Linked DNA regions of Oryctolagus cuniculus. The protein of the gene in region 1 interacts with the protein of each later gene in a biochemical or structural test. Links are inferred from orthologs where the notes say so. Each region holds a gene or a part of one and is shown in the gene's direction. Other genes may lie near its edges.

Region 1 (3,514 bases):
TGAATGTTGGGAGGAGAAATAGTTGAAACCACAGAATACAGTCAGGTGCAGGCCAGACACCTGGTACATGAAAGCACTGTGGGGAGAGGGCTATAGATGCGGAAGTGTTGTCCTCCGTGTTCAGATCAACCTGAGAGGTTCTTAGGCCACAGTCCCAGCAACTGAAATTCAGAATGTCGTTGGATATAAAGAAAGCTGGAGTGAAGATTGCAGAGTCAGAATCCATGCTCGTTGTTCAGTAAAAAGACCTTTCCTGCCCTTCAGTGTCCTTCACTGAAATGTGATTGTTAAGGAAAACGGTCGATTTGTTTTCATCCGCATCGAGCTGCAGCCTTGCTTTGTCTGTACAAGTTGTGAACTTCATTCAGTTGCCAGAATCTAGCTGAGCCTGTGTTTTAGTTATTGAACTTGTTGGTTTTTCCCTAACTACTAATCTCTAAATTTAGGGGAAAAAAAATAAGTGAGTATTGCTAATATTGTATACAGCTAGGCCAAACAGAGGCATCTCTACAGTGTTTTATTTTGTGAGAGTATCAGACTCATGTGTGGTTTTAAAAGACCGTTCTAATTTCATTTTAATGTGACGGGAAAAAAATACTCATGCCCACACCCCTGGCAGTGCCGCCTGAGCTCTTACCCCGCGCCCCGCTCCCTGCCATGTGCTCTCAGCCGCGGGCCCCCTGCAGACACTGGCCCAAGGTGCCTCGGAGCCTCCTACTCCATCTTGGGACACAGATTTCTCCTCCCCTTCCTGGGTCAGAGGAATAAGAACACGTTGGAAAGCCTGGGTTTTTTGTTGTTTTTTGTGAAAGTGGCTGTTTGAGTTTTCCTTAAGGCTTTGGGCTCTGTTGATCTCTAACCTGTCACATCTCTTCAGCATTCATTTATCTTTGTTATGTGTGTGTAGTACACATTTACTTCTTCACTGGGTGTTTTCCTGAGTTCACCAGTCTTTGTTTTCACCCTAGCGAGTCAAGCCAGGGATCTGTTATCAAAAATGTTGGTGATCGACCCCGACAAGCGGATCTCTGTGGACGAGGCTCTGCGCCACCCGTACATCACTGTCTGGTACGATCCTGCCGAGGCAGAGGCGGTGAGTGCTGATGCTGAGAAGGCAGATGCAGGGCTTCCCCCTGGTTGGCCCAGAATGGCCACGCAGGAGCAAACAGGTGCTGGGTTTAAGGCTCCTGACTGCACAAGGGCCAAGCGTTGTTTGAGACCTGGTCAGGAGCAGTTTGGGGCAGTTGCTGCTGGGGCTGCAGCTTAGAGCATGAACAAGCTTACGTGGAGACAACTGTCTTCACTTACACAAATGCCAACACGCGGCACTTGACACCGAGCGTGTGTCCTAAGAAGCCTGTCGTTGGGCAGTGCGCTGTTGCGTGGGCACTAACAAAACCACGGTGTCACCAGGCAACATATTCTATGGGAGCACCGTTGCAGGCGTCGTCGGGTGTTGGCCAAATCTGTCCCTTGTTCTGTGTCCCTTCGGTGCCTGGCCTCAGATTAAGTCCTCTTCCTCAGGCTCCTCCTCAGAGAGGCTGAGTAGTTTGCTGGAGAGCACACTGACCCAGCCCAAGGGCATCCGTGCCTCCCATGGCCACGCTGGGCTGAATGACCTCGAGCTGCCGGTGAACGATGCCCTAGCAGCGTTCTCAGTCCGTGCTGGCAGGTCTGCAGTGTTGGCTTGTGGATTCCAGCACCAACTTCAACATTGTTGGTGTGAAAAGCATCTGACTTAGAAGCAGGTGTTTGCAATAGCGCATCTGTGAGTTAGGTATTGGGATTGGGAGTTCTACCATGAGGAAACAAAATGTATTCCAAGAAAGTACCACCCCTTCCATAGCTCCCAACACAAGGCCTTGTCTGGGGAGCTCCAGGGAGCAGCCTGTGATTATCATTTTATAACTGTGTCTGAGAAGATGTCATTAGAATATCCTGAGGTCCTGCGATTATTAAGAGGATTATTATTAATAGCTCAATTTCTGGTTAATTCTTCCTTAACCATTTTGATTCTGAAACTGATGTAAAATTATATACTGATATATATATATTGAAATATATTCAAATATATATTGAAATTGATATAAAATCTTTAATGAACCATTTGTTAATGAAAAGAAATTCATATCACTCTGCCAAATGTCTCACCTTTTTTTGAAGTTGACTTTACATGTAATCTGGTTTTTAGCCACCACCTCAGATTTACGATGCCCAATTGGAAGAAAGAGAACATGCAATTGAGGAGTGGAAAGGTAAATCCTGACTTGCCGTGCCCCCGGGGTCGGGGGAGGGGGCTTTCCCTTTGCTAGCAGCCCTTTGGGAAGGACCAGAGACCCCAGCCCACTCACCTCTTTCTAACCGAGGGAGAGAGGAACATGTGTGGCCTTGTACTGCTTGTTTCAAGGATGAAGGATGAGGGCTTCTTCACCTGACTTTAAATTCCCAGATGTTGCTTTGTAAACTGAACCCCATTGATGGTCTCACTGATGATGTGTCAGGTTGTAAGGCAGCCCCGGTTCACATAAGCAGACATGGGAACTCTGCTGGTGTGTTTAAGCCATACAGTTGCACATAACAGTACAAAATCTAGTTGCAGATCAAAAATATGCAAGTAGATATTATTATCACCTGAGATTAACCAGGCACCCCACCACCACCACAACCTAGACAGCAGTGTGGAGGCTGACTGACAAGTTCTCATTCAAAAGCAGGGTCCCTGGTTACTGAGAGCCCAGAGCCGGGGCCAGTGGGGGTCAACCCTGCTGGTGTGACACGGGGAGCCGGTTCCCTGTGCAGGCACCCTCGGCCTGCCGTTCCCATAGCCATACTCACAGGCCTCAGGAAATGCTACAGTGTGCCAATGTCAGTTCACATTACTGCCATTTTAGAAACCCCTAATAACTTACTTGGTAGGCAGTTAGTTCTTACGAGTGAAAGTTGAAAACTAAAGCTGAAGCCAAGAAAAGACTGAGGTGTACAGATTGATTTCTGGCCAAGCTACAGGGGCCATAGCCCACACGGGCCAGTGTCACTCGCAGAACCACTGTGACAGTGGAAAGAAGTCTGTGCATGCCACTGGGTAGAACATCCAGTCCTTTAAAACGTCGGTGAAAGCCACTCTTCTCTCCCTTTCTCCCCTGACTCCTTCCCCACCCCCTGTTGAACTCAGAATGGCCCTGTGTTTCTAGCTACCTTAATGGTTGTGTGGAGGAGTTGCGAGTGGATGTTTTGGCCTAGGCAGATTCTGTCACTGAATTGCCTGAGTGTCGCAGTTTAAAGCGCTCACCACGGAGCCCAGAGCCGGGGGGGGGGGGGGGGGGGGGGGCGGTGATTTGAAGCAGAGCTCAGCCAGCAGAGACACTGAGGCATTTCACCTGCATCTCTGTTTGAAGAGCTAATTTACAAAGAAGTAATGGACTGGGAAGAAAGAAGCAAGAATGGTGTTGTGAAAGATCAGCCTTCAGGTTAGTGATTGCTCTGACCGCTCGCAGGCCGGCGCGCTGTCTCCTTT
Region 2 (3,514 bases), on another chromosome or scaffold:
TGAAGGCTCTAGGGGGAGAATCCGTCTCCAGCTTATTGGGGTTGTTGGCAGAATTCAACTCTTTGAGGTTGCAGGACCAAGATCCTTATTTCCTTAGTGGCTGCCCGCTGAGGGCCCTTTCTGACTTTAAGATTGATTGATTTATTTGAAAGGCAGAGTTACAGAGAGGCAGAGAGAGAGAGAGAGAGAGAGAGAGAGGCAGAGGCTTCCATCCGCTGGTTCACTCCCCAAACAGCCACAATGGCCAGAGCTGAGCCTATCCAAAGCCAGGAGCCAGGAGATTCTTCCACGTCTCCCATGCGGGTGCAGGGGCCCAAACACTTGGGCCATCTTCTACTGCTATCTCAGGCCGTAGCAGAGAGCTGGATCAGAAGAAGAGCAGCCAGGACTTGAACCAGTGCCTTTATGAGATGCCAGCACTGCAGGCAGCAGCTTTACCCTCTGTGCCATAGTGCCAGCCCCCCCTCTTCTGTATTTAAAAGCTCACTTTAAAAAAAAACAACAGAATAATCTTAGAGTCTGTAATCTTATTCCATCTGCACAGTTCCTCTTTGCTATATAGCATAACAGTCACAGGTTCTGGAATTAGGATGTGGACTTCTTTGAATCGGAGGTAGCATTTTTCTGCCTACCACGTTCTGCTACGTGCAAAACATTCACACCATCCTAAGAGCCACCATAAATCTTGGCCCATTACAGGAGACAACCAAAACTAGACGGAGATGTTTAAAAGTTAATCTGATGGTGCTTAGGGGAAAGATAGTGGCGTTTGGAGACAGCGGTAGGGACAAGATGACAAGAAAGGAATCCTCCTTTTCATCTCTGCCTCCTCCTGTGTCCCCAGCTTCTCAGCTCTGAGCTCTCTGCCCTCCAGGTATCCCTGGGATGGCGTGAGTGTTGCCCCAGCGATGGACCCATCTGTGACGCTGTGGCAGTTTCTGCTGCAGCTGCTGAGAGAGCAAGGCAATGGCCACATCATCTCCTGGACCTCACGGGATGGTGGTGAGTTCAAGCTGGTGGATGCAGAGGAGGTAGCCCGGCTGTGGGGGCTGCGCAAGAACAAGACCAACATGAATTATGACAAGCTCAGCCGGGCCTTGCGGTACTACTATGACAAGGTAAGGCCTCTGACATTGAGGTCACAAGTGTCATTCTCTTGTCTAACTTATGGTATAACTGAACATCATATTAAAATGTATTATTTCTTAACCCTTTCTCTGGGACCTTCAGACTAACTTAATCTCATTTTATTTTCTTGTTTTACTGCTTTGGTTAAAAGCTTTATAATCTTCTCTTACTCTAAAATATTTTCTATTCTAATTCCTGGAATCAAAACCTCCCTGAAAATATTATGCTAACCTTTCTTACTTTGTTCTCTGGGACCCTCATACTTTTTATTTTCTTTCACTGAAGTCTCTGAAGCAGCATATGTAAAGTCAGCGCCACACACCATCCTTTTGGATTCCCAAAGCAACACTGGTCTGCTCCAATATCCGTATCAACTGTTTTATTTCATCATCTTATTGTCATAGCTGGAATTTTAAATTTTCTGCATCCTATCAGACCCTCTGAGCTGCACTACTTTTCTTCTCTCCTTAATATTTATAACATGCATCTCATTTTCTTATTTAGAAGAAGCCTTTGAAACAGTGTAAACTAATACTCTTTTTCATTCCTCTTCTGAGAAACACAAGCCCACCCCGTGACATGCCTGATCAGCACAAAGACCTCACCAGGGGGCCCACGTTGTGGCACAGCAAACTGAGCCACTGCCTGCGATGCTGGCATCTCATATGGGCGCTGCTCCACTTCCAAACCAGCTCCCTGCTAATGCACCCAGGAAAGCAGCGGAAGATGGCCCAAGCACCTGGGCCCCTGCCAGCCACGTGGCACCACATCGGAATTCCAGGCTCTTGGCTTTGGCCTAGCCCAGTCCTGCTTTTGCAGCTATTTGTGGGAGTGAACCAATAGATGGAACGCGTCTGTCTGTCTCTCTCTCTTCTCCCTAATTCTGCCTTTCACATAAATAAATAAATCTTTAATCAGAAAAAGACTGCCTAGTACCCCCAGACTCCTCTTGCTCCCGGAACAGCCACAGACCTGTGTCACACCCTTTAGTCACTGGAAGCATTTATCCCACTTTCCTAGTTTATTCCTTTAACCCAGATCTCCAAAACAGTGGGGCTACCTCACTGTAGCCTAAGAGACCCCAGAACGTCCCTGAAACTCTCCAGACCGGACCTGTCCTGAAATACCTCAAACATACTTGCCCCTCCCCCAATATTTATACCAGTATTTTATTGTTCTTTCCTAATTGTCAGTTACTTCATTTTGTTGCCCTTTTGGTTTAAACCTCCACAACTCCACAACAGTCTTTTTGGTTTTGTTTTTGTTTTTTTACTTATTTGAGAGGCAGAGAGCGAGCGAGTGAGTGAGAGGGCTCCTATCCACTGGTTCACTCTCCAAATGCCTACAACAGCTGGGACCAGGCCAGACTGAAGCTGAGAGCTAGGAATTCAGTCCTTGTCTTCCACATGAGTGGTAGAAAGCCAACTACTTGAGCCATCATCCACTGCCTCCCAGGTTGCACATTAGCAAGAAACTAGAATTGGGAACAGAGCTGGGACTTGAACCAGGGTACCGCTATATGGGATGTGGGCATCCCAACCAGTTTCTAAGCTGCTCCACTGAACCCCTGCCCCCACAGGTAGTATTAATGAGGCCTCCTTACCCTGTCCTCTGTAATGGACCTCGGCCTGTTCCACTTCTATGTTAATAGCATTAAATAATCTATATTGGTAATTTGTCATCCCACTCATCTGCATTAATTTCATCTCTTCCAACATTTACAGCACTCACTTCATTTTGCTGTTATATTGCATTAGCTAGTCTCCAAGTCTGTGTCCTAGCAGCCACCCCATAGGCCTGAACTTGTTAACCTGCAGACACCCCTGCACCTATACTCCCCTAGAGGGGTTCCATTGTGAACAGGAGCTGGCACAGCTTGGGAAACCAGACAGATGGAGATGAAGAGGGAGGGAGATGGATGGGGAGGAGATTAAAGAAAGCATTGTCGAAGGGAGAAACAGGAGGAATACAGAGACGGATCCGGGGAGGGGGAAGGAAGGGATGCAGATACTGACAGGCGATTGAGATGGGTGAAATAGGGGCAGGTAGGAAGAAAGGTGCTAGGAGGAAGACAGCCCCTCCAGCCTCTCTTCTCCCGGCCACACCGTCCCTCCCCCCGCCCTTGACCTTTAAGGCCCTCTGTTCTGTCTTGTCTCTTCCCAGAATATCATCCGCAAGGTGAGCGGCCAGAAGTTTGTCTACAAGTTCGTGTCCTATCCCGAGGTCGCAGGGTGCTCCACCGAAGACTGCCCGTCCCAGCCTGAGGTGTCTGTTGCCTCTGCCGTGGCAAATGTGGCCCCTGCTGCTGTACATGCCACCCCTGGGGACACCGCCTGTGGAAAGCCAGGCACACCCAAGGGTGCAGGGATGGCAGGCCCAGGTGGTT
Region 3 (3,514 bases), on another chromosome or scaffold:
GTAATTATTTTGTATTCAAGGTATCAGTATTACTTGGCCTTTTGTTATTGAAGTTTTTGATATAGGAAAGATGGCCTAAGATTAGTTAATAGTTTAACATTTCCATTGTTGAATTTGTATTAATCATAGCGAAATTTCTCTGGACCTGTTTTCTTTTTGTACAGTAAAATGAGGAAGTAGACTTAGGTGTTCCCTTATAGATTTTAAAGTTTTCTAATTCTTGAGAGTGGATCGTGTTTTTACTTTTTTACTAAAATTCTCTTGGAATTATAGCCAAATTGTCCAACCTGACTTACTTCTGAATTGACATGAAAATAAGTTTTACTGAAAAAAACGCTGAGGTTTTTAAAAATTAATTGAACATTGCCTGTGAACCTTTACAACTACTTCTAAAATTTCTTTTTAGTTCACTTGAGATACTAATTTGAGAGGTTAAGCATTACCCTATGAATGTGTTTGCAAGTGTGTTATGTTCTGTTCACTAAGGTACATGCATTAATTGCATTTTAAATTCTACGCTTTTTGTTATGTCTTTATTAAATAGGAGGTACCATTGGCACAAACTGCACAGCCCACATCAGCTATTGTTCGTCCAGCATCATTACAGGTTCCCAATGTGCTGCTTACAAGTTCTGATTCAAGTGTAATTATTCAGCAGGCAGTACCTTCACCAACCTCAAGTACTGTAATCACCCAGGCACCATCCTCCAATAGGCCAATTGTGTAAGTGATTAAGCCCAGTCATTGAACTGTGTATGAATTAAGTTTTTCTTGTTACGATTTTTCCTAAGATAGCTGATTTAAGATGATTTTTTATATTTTCATGCTCTTTAAGGCAAAACATATAAAATTATTCTATTACCAGATGACACTTCTTTCAGTTCTTAAATGCAGCTAGTTCTCAGGGCCCACCAGCATTGTGATATAGCAGGTTAAACTGCCACTTAGGATGCCAGCATCCCGTATTACAGTTTGAGTCCCAAATACTCCACTTCCCATCCAGCTTTGTTGCCTAGGAAGGCAACAAAAGATGGCCCAAGTGCTTGGGCCCCTGCCACCCATGTGGGAGTATCTGGATGGCATTCCTGACTCCGGCTTTGGCCTAGCCCAGCCCTGGCTGCTGTGGCCATTTGGAGAGTTAGCCGATGGATAATGGTCTGGGGACTGGCATTGTACCCTCGCAGATAAAGCTGCTGCCTGTAGCACCAGCATCCCATATAGGTGCCAGTTAAAGTTCTGGCTGCTTCACTTCCAGTCTAGCTCCCTGCTAATGGCCTGAGAAAGCAGTGGGAAGATGGCCCAAATCCTTGGACCCCTGCACCCATGTGAGAGACCTGGAGGAAGCTTCTGGCTCCTGGATTTGGTCTTGCCCAGCTATGGCTGTTGTGGCCATCTGGGTGGAGAGTAGGCCAGCAGATGGAAAATCTCTGTCTCTCCCTGACTCTCTGCGTAACTCTTTCAAATAAAATAAATCTTTAAAAAACATATTTAAAGATAATTTTATTTCTGAAGTTTACAGTGCTTAAGAAATTTATTAATATTGTAATAATAGAAGTAAAAATACTATTGTATTTTTAAGTGATGGTTTCTTTGAATCTGTTTAATTTCATTTCTTTTGTTCTTCATAGTCCTGTGCCAGGCCCATTTCCTCTTCTATTGCATCTTCCGAATGGACAAACCATGCCTGTTGCTATTCCTGCATCAATTACAAGTTCTAATGTACATGTTCCAGCTGCAGTCCCAGTAAGTTACAAATTTAGACTATAGTAGATCTGGTCTGTATAAAGTAATCAGAAAATAGAGTTGAAGCTGCTGGACTGACTTATGAAAACTGAATTTAAGAAAGTACATAATAGTGGTAAGTAGTGTTTATTCATTGATATTTATGGTAATAACATCTACCATTCAGTGCAAACATAATTAAATAAACTATTTTCCTCTCCCAACAATCTTGTTTTCCTTACTTTTTACACTATGAACTTTATTCCTTATTTACCCCATTTCTATTTGACTGAATTTGTAAAATTCAAATAGTACTAGAACACTTGTCAGGTAACTTTGGTATTTCAGTTAATTTAGAAATTCTTTATAAAAACACAATCTTTGATCTTTGATGGTCAAGTTCAGTTAACAGATTTACTTTGATGGCCCATGCATTCTTAAGAACATTCTGAACATTTGCGGTACAGACGTTTGCAGTGGTTAAGATGCCAGAATGAATGTATTCAGGCCCCACTCCATTTCTAATAGCTTTCTGTTAATGTTCACTCTGAGAGGCAGCAGATGATGGCTCAAGTACTTGGGTCCCTGTCACCCATGTGGAAGACCCAAATAGAGTACTTAGGCTCCTGGCTTTGGTCTGGCCCAGAGCTGGCTGTTGTGTGCATTTGGTGATGAACCATCAAGATGAAAGATCTGTTTCTGTTTTTCTGTCACTCTGCCTTTAAAATAAATAAAACAAATAAATTTTAGCATTCTAAAGTAATAAGTCTCCCATTTTCTTAATGAGAAGATCCAAAAGAAAAGTTTTGTAAGGGCAAGTCAAATATATATAAAATTTGAAAGACATAGACAATTAAATATCTAGTTATTGTATTTTTTTGTTTTTAGATTTTATTTTTTTATTTGAGAGGTAGAGTTACAGTGAGAAGGAGAGACAGAAAGGTCTTTCTTGTGCCAGTTCACTCCCTAAATGGCATCAATGGCCGGAGCTGCATCGATCCGAAGCCAGGAGCCAGGAGCTTCTTCTGAATCTCCCACATGGGTGCAAGGGCCCAAGGATTTGGACCATCTTCCACTGCTATCCCAGGCCATAGCAGAAAACTGGATTGAAAGAGGAACAGCCGGGACTAGAACCAGCACTCATATGGGATGCCTGTGCTGCAGGCAGAAGATTAACCTACTGTGCCACAGTGCCAACCCCTAGTTATAGTACTTAGTAGATTATAAAATATTTAAAAACACATTGTTTAGGACAGGCATTTGGCTTAGTAGTTAAGGTACCACTTGAGATGCCTACATACAGAATCAGAGTAACTAGGTTCAAGTCCCAGCTCTGCTGCCAATTCCAGCTTCCTGATGATGCACATTCTGGGAGGCAGCAGGTGATGGTTCAACTAGTTGGGTCCCTGCAACCCATATGGGAGCCCAGTGGAGTTCCTGGCTCCTGACTTTAGCCTGGCCCAATCTTGGTTATGGCAGGCATTTGAAGAGTGAACCAGAGGATGACAGATCTCTCTGTCTCCTTCCCTCTCTCTCTGACTTCTGCCTTTCAAATAAATAAATAAATAACATTGGTTAGAATAATAAAAATGAGAAATATGCCTTTTTTCCCAACTTTCACATGTGAATTCATGAAAACAGTTTTATTCAAACTTTTCAAAGGTGTCTTTCAGCATTTCAGATTTTCATCTGAGAACCGCTTTTTGACCCATCTAGCACAGTTTTCCAGAACACAGTTTACTTCTTCATCTAAATTATTTATGACATGACAGCTTTTAATCTTTGTATTATT
Region 4 (3,906 bases), on another chromosome or scaffold:
CGCTGCGCACCCAGGCCTCTGTGGAGGTCGCGCACGTCCAGGTTCCTCTCGCAAAGGCGCAGAAGGCCGGGACCCAGGGCGGGGCGCACGGTCCCGTAGGAGCGGAGTGACGGAGACAGGGCCGGGCTCCATCCCCCGGGGCTGTTGCCACACTTCCTGCCTAGGCGTTCTTTCCCCAGCCTGCTTCTAAGGAAGGGAGTGGGGTTGGGCGACCGCGCCCGGGGCCGTCGGGCTGGGTCCAGACTCCAGAAGCTGGCAAGCCCAGTGTGACTAGGGGAGGGGTTCTCGGACGGGCGACGGAGTATACAGGTGCCTGCTGGGGGGTCACCCACCAGGGGAAAGACCCCTCCCCGGGATGCACAAAGCCCCCTCCTCCTGGCGCGTCTCAGCCGGGTACCCTCCTGTCATTGTCCCTTCAGCTCCCATCGGGCGCGCCGACCCTTCCAACTCCATCAGGATTTCGCGGGTGACTTCAGTGATCCTCAAACCTCTGCTAAAAATGTCGCCATCTCCTACGCCACGTCTTGCACCCAGAGTCCGGGTACCCCAGGATCTTTGTTCACTTGCTGCATATCATAGATTCGTCCCCAATTCCTTCTCATTCCCACTTAACCCGGGTAGTAGTGGTGGGGGCGGAAGCCCTCCGTTTCTGAGACCCCCTACTCATTTCTTGCATAATAGGTCCATGCAGTCCCGCCCCTTGACCCCTTGTGAACTCTTCTCCTGTTCCTCAGCCCCCCCCCCGAAAAAACATCCCAGTATCTCAACCTCTCTGGGCCCAAGACACCCCTCAGTCAATTCCTGAGTCAGGGGTCTCTTTGTACGCGCGTGCGCGCGCGCGCGCACACACACACACACACACACACACACACTTGCTCCGACCCTGCCCAATAACTCGGCTGAACCCTCCCCTTCCCCACTCTTGGAGGAGAGGGGGGTCTCCCAGTGTGGTGTGGGGTCCTCCCACCTTTCCATTTGCATCCTGAGGACCCCCACCCCCTACCCCCTTTGCTCAGCAGCAGGTCTGCATATCCACCCCGGGGAATCGTCACTCTCCCGCAGGGTCTTCTTCCACCCACCCCCACCCCCACCCCCAGCCCCGGTTACAAGTCTAGGTGCGTTCCCCCTCTCCCCAAGACCACAAGCTCCCTTCCAGGCGTACCCAGGTTGGGGGAAGGGGGTCCCTGGGGCCCCTCCCCCTGCAGCCGCGCCGAGCCGCCAGGCCCCGTGGCCGCTGTTTACAAGGACACGCGCGCTTCCTGACAGTGACGCCAGCCGCCTCCTCCCCTTCCCCACGCTCCGGGGAGGGAGGGGGCGCGGGGGCCCGGCTCCGGCGCCGGCCAATCGGCGCGCACTTCCGCAGCTGAATAGCGCCGTATAAAATGCGTGCGGCTCGGGCTGAGCGCCTGGGACCTTGAGGGCGGCCAGGCCAGCAGCCTCGGAGCAGTCGGCGAAGAGACACTGGGCAGGGGGGGGGAGCCGGTTGGCAAAGCGGGAGAGCCAGAGCCGGGCCGGCGCGGGGTGGTGTGTTGGGGGGGGCGTGCGGGGAAAGGCAGCGACACCGAGAGAAAAGCGAAGGCGGCCAGCAGAAGAGGGCGAGGAGCGCGCTCGGGAAGCCGGACGCGGCTGGAGGCGCGCAGCTGCCCGCGGGGGTCGCCTCCCCGCCCGCCACCGGCCCGTTGCCAGCTCCCCGCCAGGAACGCGCGACCGGACAGACAACCGCGCGCCACCCGGCCACCGCGTCGCTCGGCCGCAGCGAGGCCCGGGGCGGTCCCGCCGGGACGCCCCCTCCCCCGCCGCCGCCCTTCCCCTCCGCGGAGACCGCCTGGGCCGCCCGGATGTGCACTAAAATGGAACAGCCCTTCTACCACGACGACTCGTACGCAGCGGCGGGATACGGCCGGGCCCCCGGCGGCCTCTCTCTACACGACTACAAACTCCTGAAACCCAGCCTGGCGCTCAACCTGACAGACCCCTACCGCAGTCTCAAAGCGCCCGGGGCGCGGGGCCCCGGCCCCGAGGGCAGCGGAGCCGGCAGCTACTTCCCCGGCCAGGGCTCAGACACAGGCGCGTCACTCAAGATCGCCTCCTCGGAGCTGGAGCGCCTGATCGTCCCCAACAGCAACGGCGTGATTACGACGACGCCCACGCCCCCGGGACAGTACTTCTACCCCCGCGGGGGTGGCAGCGCCGGAGGTGCCGCCGGGGGCGCAGGGGGCGGCGTCACGGAGGAGCAGGAGGGCTTCGCCGACGGCTTCGTCAAAGCGCTGGACGACCTGCACAAGATGAACCACGTGACGCCCCCCAACGTGTCCCTGGGCGCCAGCGGGGGACCCCCGGCCGGGCCCGGGGGCGTCTACGCGGGCCCCGAGCCGCCCCCCGTCTACACCAACCTCAGCAGCTACTCCCCGGCCTCTGCGACCTCCGGAGGCGCCGGAGCCGCCGCCGCCGCCGCCGCCGCCGTGGGCACCGGGAGCTCGTACCCGACGGCCACCATCAGCTACCTCCCGCACGCGCCGCCCTTCGCGGGCGGCCACCCCGCGCAGCTGGGCTTGGGCCGCGGCGCCTCGGCCTTCAAGGAGGAACCGCAGACCGTGCCCGAGGCGCGCAGCCGAGACGCCACGCCGCCCGTGTCCCCCATTAACATGGAAGACCAGGAGCGCATCAAAGTGGAGCGCAAGCGGCTGCGGAACCGGCTGGCGGCCACCAAGTGCCGGAAGCGGAAACTGGAGCGCATCGCGCGTCTGGAGGACAAGGTGAAGACCCTCAAGGCGGAGAACGCGGGCTTGTCCAGCACCGCCGGGCTCCTCCGCGAGCAGGTAGCCCAGCTCAAGCAGAAGGTCATGACCCACGTCAGCAACGGCTGCCAGCTCCTGCTCGGGGTCAAGGGACACGCCTTCTGAGCACCGACCTGGACTGCTGGGGGCGTGGGCGGTGGGCGCGCGCCCGGGACGCCGCCAGCCACACTGGACTCCGCTCTGCGCCCGGTCCCTCCACGTTGAACGTTTACAAGCTTTTCTTTCCACGTTTTTTTTTTTTTTTTTTGTATGTCTATTTTTTTTCTGCAGGAAACAGACTCGATTCATATTGAATATAATATATTTGTGTATATTTAACAGGGAGGGGAGGGGAGGAGGAGGGGGCGATGGCGGCGGAGCTGGCCCCGCCGCCCCGGTACTCAAAACCCGCGCGGGGACACTGGGAGAGGGGACCCCCGCCCCCTACCCTCCCCCGCTCTGCACCGTACTGTGGAGAAGAAACACGCACTTGGTCTCTTAAGAAAAAAAAAGTTTATTTTAAGATGTTTTTGTGTGTGTGTATGTGTGTGTGCGTGCGCGCGTTTGTTCTGACTTTTTATTGAATCTATTTAAGTAAAAAAAATGGTTCTTTATTAATCTCTGTTGTCCTTTTTGTTTTGTTTTGTTTTGTTTTTCCAAGCCGGGTGGGAGGAGGGAAGAGGAGCAGCCCGGTGCTTCTCCCCCCACCCCCACCCCACCGCACCCCGCTAGTGCTTCTGCTGGTTCCTCTATGCGTCCCCTCTGGCATCCATCGACCCCTCCAGCCCGTGCACCCCGGTCTCGCGGCCTCATCCCCAGAGTCTCCGAGGCTGGACGGTTTCCATCCCAGCGCAGCGCGCGCACGAGACACTGCCCAGCCGGCCCTGCAGCCGGGAGGGGCAGGCTGCCCCGAGCGGCGCGCCGCAGTGCGCAGGCGCGGCACCGCCCCGCCGCGCGCGCGCCGGGGCTTTCCCCGCTGACGCAGCGGAAGCGCTGCCCATATATGGGCCGATTCGGCCCAGTGACGCGACGGCGGTCTCCGGGCAGATTCCGGGAATCCCCTCCCCCCCGCGCTGCCGGGCAGGGCCGCGGCGCCGGGAAGGGGGCTGGGATTTTCCCCGGGCGGGCG
Region 5 (4,025 bases), on another chromosome or scaffold:
CAGGCCGCCAGACGCGGGACTTCAGCCCGGGGCGCGCAGAGCCCAGGCCGCCAGACGCGGGACTTCAACCCGGGGCGCGCAGAGCCCAGGCCGCCTGACGCGGGGCGCGCAGAGCCCAGGCCGCCTGACGCGGGACTTCAGCCCGGGGCGCGCAGAGCCCAGGCCGCCTGACGCGGGACTTCAGCCCGGGGCGCGCAGCCCGCTGGGTGACGGGGAGGGATCGGCTCCAGGGCGGCCGTGGTGCAGGTCAGGATGAGAGGCTCGGGGCCGACTCTAAGCCGTCCCTAATGTAAGTGAAGTCCTGGGTTCACAACGTCTGGGTGTGTGGTCACACACAGGCCTCCAGGGGCTGACTGCGGGCCGCGCCCCGAAGGCTGCAGGTACCAGATTTAGATTAAAAAAGGAGAGAACTGAAAACCTAAGAGATGCGCACCTATCAAGGCAGGGCTCAGGACGCCACCGCCGGCCGCGCCAGCGTCCCTGTCCTGGCGGCTCCACCTCCAGCCCGTGCCTGGGAAAGCACAGAGGACGGGGCGACGGATAAAGCCTTCAGCCTAGCCCAGCCCTGGGGGCAGGGAACGGGGGCTGGAAGGCCTCCCTCTCGGTCTCCAAGTCTTTCAAATAATCTTTTGAAAAAATTTTTAAAAATGGTTGATGAAAAAACTTCTTGCATAAAAGGCACTTTCAGACAAAGATCTCCCATCAGCTGGTTCATCCCCCAGCGGCCGGCCGAAGCCAGGAGCCCCAGCCGGGTCCCGGGCGCACCGGCAGGGGCTGGCTCCGCGACCCCCGCGACCCCGCGGGCTGGGCTGGACGCGCCTCGACGCCCGCCCCTCCCGGGCACGGAGTCCCTGCTTTTAACAGACGCGTCTCGACCCCGTTTCCGACAGTTTTGAACGAGATCAGAGAAACAAAAAGCGGATACTTGGAAACCCACTAGGTGGCCTCGACACGTGCCCACGGCCGACAAGAGCCGCGCCGGGGTCGGCCCGGGGTGCGGGCCGCAGGCCGCTTCCCGGGCGAGCGGAGGGCGCGGTCACCCGGGAGCCCCCGACCCGCTACGGCCTGGAAGCCGCCGTCCGCGCGCACCGCCCGGCGCGGCCGCAAACCGCCCTTCCGGCTCCGGTGCGCTTCCGGCGCGGAGCCCGCTTCCGCTGACGTCACGGCGCTGCGACCCCCGGCGGCGCGGCGGGGGCGGGACTTCCGGCGGCTGAGTGACGGGCGCGGCAGCGGCAGCGGCGGCAGCGGCGGCAGCGGCAGCGGCAGCAGAGTCGCCTCAGCCTCCCCCTCAGCGGCGGCGGCGCCCGAGGCGACGCCGCGGCCTGCGCACCCCCGGGCAGCCAGGGCGGGCCGGGCGCGCCGGCCGGACAGCGGGCCGCGCTGGCGGCGGCGGTGGCCGCGATGATGGAGATCCCGATGGACGAGGGCGGCGGCGTGGTGGTCTACCAGGACGACTACTGCTCGGGCTCGGTGATGTCGGAGCGCGTGTCGGGCCTGGCGGGCTCCATCTACCGCGAGTTCGAGCGCCTCATCCACTGCTACGACGAGGAGGTGGTCAAGGAGCTGATGCCGCTGGTGGTGAACGTGCTGGAGAACCTGGACTCGGTGCTCAGCGAGAACCAGGAGCACGAGGTGGAGCTGGAGCTGCTGCGCGAGGACAACGAGCAGCTGCTCACGCAGTACGAGCGCGAGAAGGCGCTGCGCAAGCAGGCCGAGGAGGTGCGCGCGGCCGGGCCGGGCCGGGGCCGGGGCGGGGAGGTGCGCGCGGCCGGGCCGGGGCCGGGGCCGGGGCGGGGAGGTGCGCGCGGCCGGGCCGGGGCCGGGCCGGGGCCGGGGAGGTGCGCGCGGCCGGGCCGGGGCCGGGGCCGGGGCCGGGGAGGTGCGCGCGGCCGGGGCCGGGGCCGGGGCCGGGGAGGTGCGCGCGGCCGGGCCGGGCCGGGGCCGGGGCGGGGAGGTGCGCGCGGCCGGGCCGGGGCCGGGGCCGGGGCCGGGGAGGTGCGCGCGGCCGGGGCCGGGGCCGGGGCCGGGGAGGTGCGCGCGGCCGGGCCGGGCCGGGGCCGGGGCGGGGAGGTGCGCGCGGCCGGGCCGGGCCGGGGCCGGGGCGGGGAGGTGCGCGCGGCCGGGCCGGGGCGGGGGCCGGGGCCGGGGCCGGGGGCGAGGAGGTGCGCGCGGCTGGGCCGGGGCGGGGGCCGGGGCCGGGGCCGGGGCCGGGGCGGGGGCGGGGGCGGGGGCGCGGGGCCGGGGCCGGGGCCGGGGCGAGGGCGCGCGGCCGGGGCCGGGGCGGCCCTAGCCCGGGAGTCGCCGGTCCGGGGCCGCGGGGAGCATCGCTTAGCCTGACCCCCTCGCCAGGGATGCCGAGCGCGACGGGTGCGGGGCCGGGGTCGGCGGCGGCCGTCCCAGGGCCGAGCGAAGGGGGTGCGGGGCCGGGGTCGCCGGCTCCGGCCCCCGAGGACCCAGAGCAGCCTGTGGGGACGGGGGAGGGGGAGGGGGGCGGCGGCGTTGGATGCGTCCCTAACCGGGAGTCGCTGGTCCGGGGGCGCCAGGGATGCCGAGCGCGGCGGCGGCCGGACCCAGCGCAGGGGGTGCGGGGGCCGTGGGCTCCCTCCCCGTGACCTTGGCCCTGGTCACCTGCCCGTCGGGCGGAGGAGCGAGTTGTCCGGGTGGGTCTGAGCCCAGAGACTGCGGGGAGGAGGTCCCGCGGTTCTCTTGGGCTTGTGGATGGGGGGGGGGGGGCAGAGGAGTTCGGGTTCCTTCCTGGTTAACTGGGCCTAGCGTTCTTGGCTTCGGTGCTCAGCCGTGAGGCGGTGCCAGTGTCTTGGCTTTTTTTTTCTTTTTCTCTAAGCCGCAGCGGTTTATGGCCTGGTTCGCGTCACGCGTGTTTGTGAAAGGCGCCGGTGTCCTGTCTGGCGTCATCCCTGCCGGCTCTGGTTGGCTTTGCTTCCCGGGTTCCCGTCTGGTTGCCGCCACCAAAGCTGGTGTGACGTTCTCCACGTCAGGGTTGCCAGAGCTGGAGTGTGAGAGCTTACGGAGATCTGGGGTGCTTCGCAGGGGAGCAGCTGGCCCCAAGAAGTGGGGGGCTGCCCAAGGTCACATGCACAGCCCTGGGCACCAGGCCAGGACGCACCTTCCCGCGCTGCAGGGGGTCAGAGGGCAGCTCCGGGCTGGGATGGAGCCGCCAGGATGGACGCGTCCACCCTCCCGCCAGTGCTCTGGGGACTGAGAGCCGCTGGGTGTGCGTGTGGTGTGCAGGCCGGCTCACCCGCCGCTGCCCCAGCTGTTGGAGAAGCTGCGGAGGGCTGTGGGAAAGGGTGGGTGGCCGGCCAGCCGTGATGGCACCAGGAGGCCCTGGTGAGGACGGGGCTGATGCCGTACACGCAGCATCCCGGCTCCCTTGTCACCGCAAGCAGGGGTCTGCGGGAAAGGCCTCTGATCACGGAGGTGTGTGATAACACAAGGGCTGGAGGTCACCGGTGCAGGCGTGGTGTGGTGCAGAGTTGGCTGAGCTGTCGGCCGAGGCCCGGCCCAGCCGCCGGCCAAGAAGGCTTAGTCAGAGTCGGGAACCTGAGCCGACAGAGCGGCAGGGGTCTCCCGAAGGCCTTGACCCAAGAGAGCAGCCGTCCCCTGCCTCACAGCCAGCACCCTGGGAGGTTCTGGGCGCGTCCTGGCGGCTGGAGCCCTGGGGTGACAGTGGCTGGAGATGGTGGGGTCCCGGGAGAGGCCCCTGCACCCAGCCTCGTCTCCTCTCTGGGCCGCCGCGGCTGCTTGGGGAAGCGGGTGGGTTCCGGATGTGGCACGTGGAGGACTGTGCTGAGACGGTGTGGCAGTCAGGGCAGAGCCCCTGGGGGCTCACGGCGAGCCCGGGCATCGCCAGCCCCCGCGGGGCAGAGCAGGTCCTGTGGCCCAGTGTGAGTGCCTCAAGCTCCTTCCCTTGGAGGAGGGGGAGCTCGGGCCGGTGAGCGGGCCTGCTTTGCTGCATCACCCGGCGGCCGGCCAGGAGCCCAGAGCCCTTTCCCGGGAGTGGCACG

What was found.
Region 2: of the proteins of MAPK9 (region 1) and ELK1, one has a biochemical effect on the other in vitro, tested with the Homo sapiens proteins (2 studies listed by BioGRID). The link is inferred for Oryctolagus cuniculus from reciprocal best matches to the Homo sapiens genes MAPK9 and ELK1.
Region 3: of the proteins of MAPK9 (region 1) and ATF2, one has a biochemical effect on the other in vitro, tested with the Homo sapiens proteins (4 studies listed by BioGRID and IntAct, with this or other methods). The link is inferred for Oryctolagus cuniculus from reciprocal best matches to the Homo sapiens genes MAPK9 and ATF2.
Region 4: the proteins of MAPK9 (region 1) and JUNB form a complex in vitro, tested with the Homo sapiens proteins (2 studies listed by BioGRID). The link is inferred for Oryctolagus cuniculus from reciprocal best matches to the Homo sapiens genes MAPK9 and JUNB.
Region 5: the proteins of MAPK9 (region 1) and MAPK8IP3 form a complex in vitro, tested with the Homo sapiens proteins (2 studies listed by BioGRID). The link is inferred for Oryctolagus cuniculus from reciprocal best matches to the Homo sapiens genes MAPK9 and MAPK8IP3.

The regions. Positions count from the first base shown.
Region 1 is NC_091437.1:67,263,354-67,266,867, forward strand, and holds part of MAPK9 (mitogen-activated protein kinase 9), read left to right. Parts: intron 1-968; coding exon 969-1,093; intron 1,094-2,191; coding exon 2,192-2,255; intron 2,256-3,395; coding exon 3,396-3,467; intron 3,468-3,514. UniProt on the Homo sapiens protein: Serine/threonine-protein kinase involved in various processes such as cell proliferation, differentiation, migration, transformation and programmed cell death.
Region 2 is NC_091453.1:33,148,407-33,151,920, reverse strand, and holds part of ELK1 (ETS domain-containing protein Elk-1), read left to right. Parts: intron 1-844; exon of another isoform or gene 845-874; 5' UTR 875-908; coding exon 909-1,118; intron 1,119-3,291; coding exon 3,292-3,514. UniProt on the Homo sapiens protein: Transcription factor that binds to purine-rich DNA sequences. Forms a ternary complex with SRF and the ETS and SRF motifs of the serum response element (SRE) on the promoter region of immediate early genes such as FOS and IER2.
Region 3 is NC_091434.1:66,033,600-66,037,113, forward strand, and holds part of ATF2 (cyclic AMP-dependent transcription factor ATF-2), read left to right. Parts: intron 1-544; coding exon 545-723; intron 724-1,628; coding exon 1,629-1,743; intron 1,744-3,514. UniProt on the Homo sapiens protein: Transcriptional activator which regulates the transcription of various genes, including those involved in anti-apoptosis, cell growth, and DNA damage response.
Region 4 is NC_091447.1:62,308,228-62,312,133, forward strand, and holds JUNB (transcription factor JunB), read left to right. Parts: upstream 1-1,396; 5' UTR 1,397-1,838; coding exon 1,839-2,903; 3' UTR 2,904-3,395; downstream 3,396-3,906. UniProt on the Homo sapiens protein: Transcription factor involved in regulating gene activity following the primary growth factor response. Binds to the DNA sequence 5'-TGA[GC]TCA-3'.
Region 5 is NC_091450.1:33,432,117-33,436,141, reverse strand, and holds the start of MAPK8IP3 (C-Jun-amino-terminal kinase-interacting protein 3), read left to right. Parts: upstream 1-1,224; 5' UTR 1,225-1,401; coding exon 1,402-1,719; intron 1,720-4,025.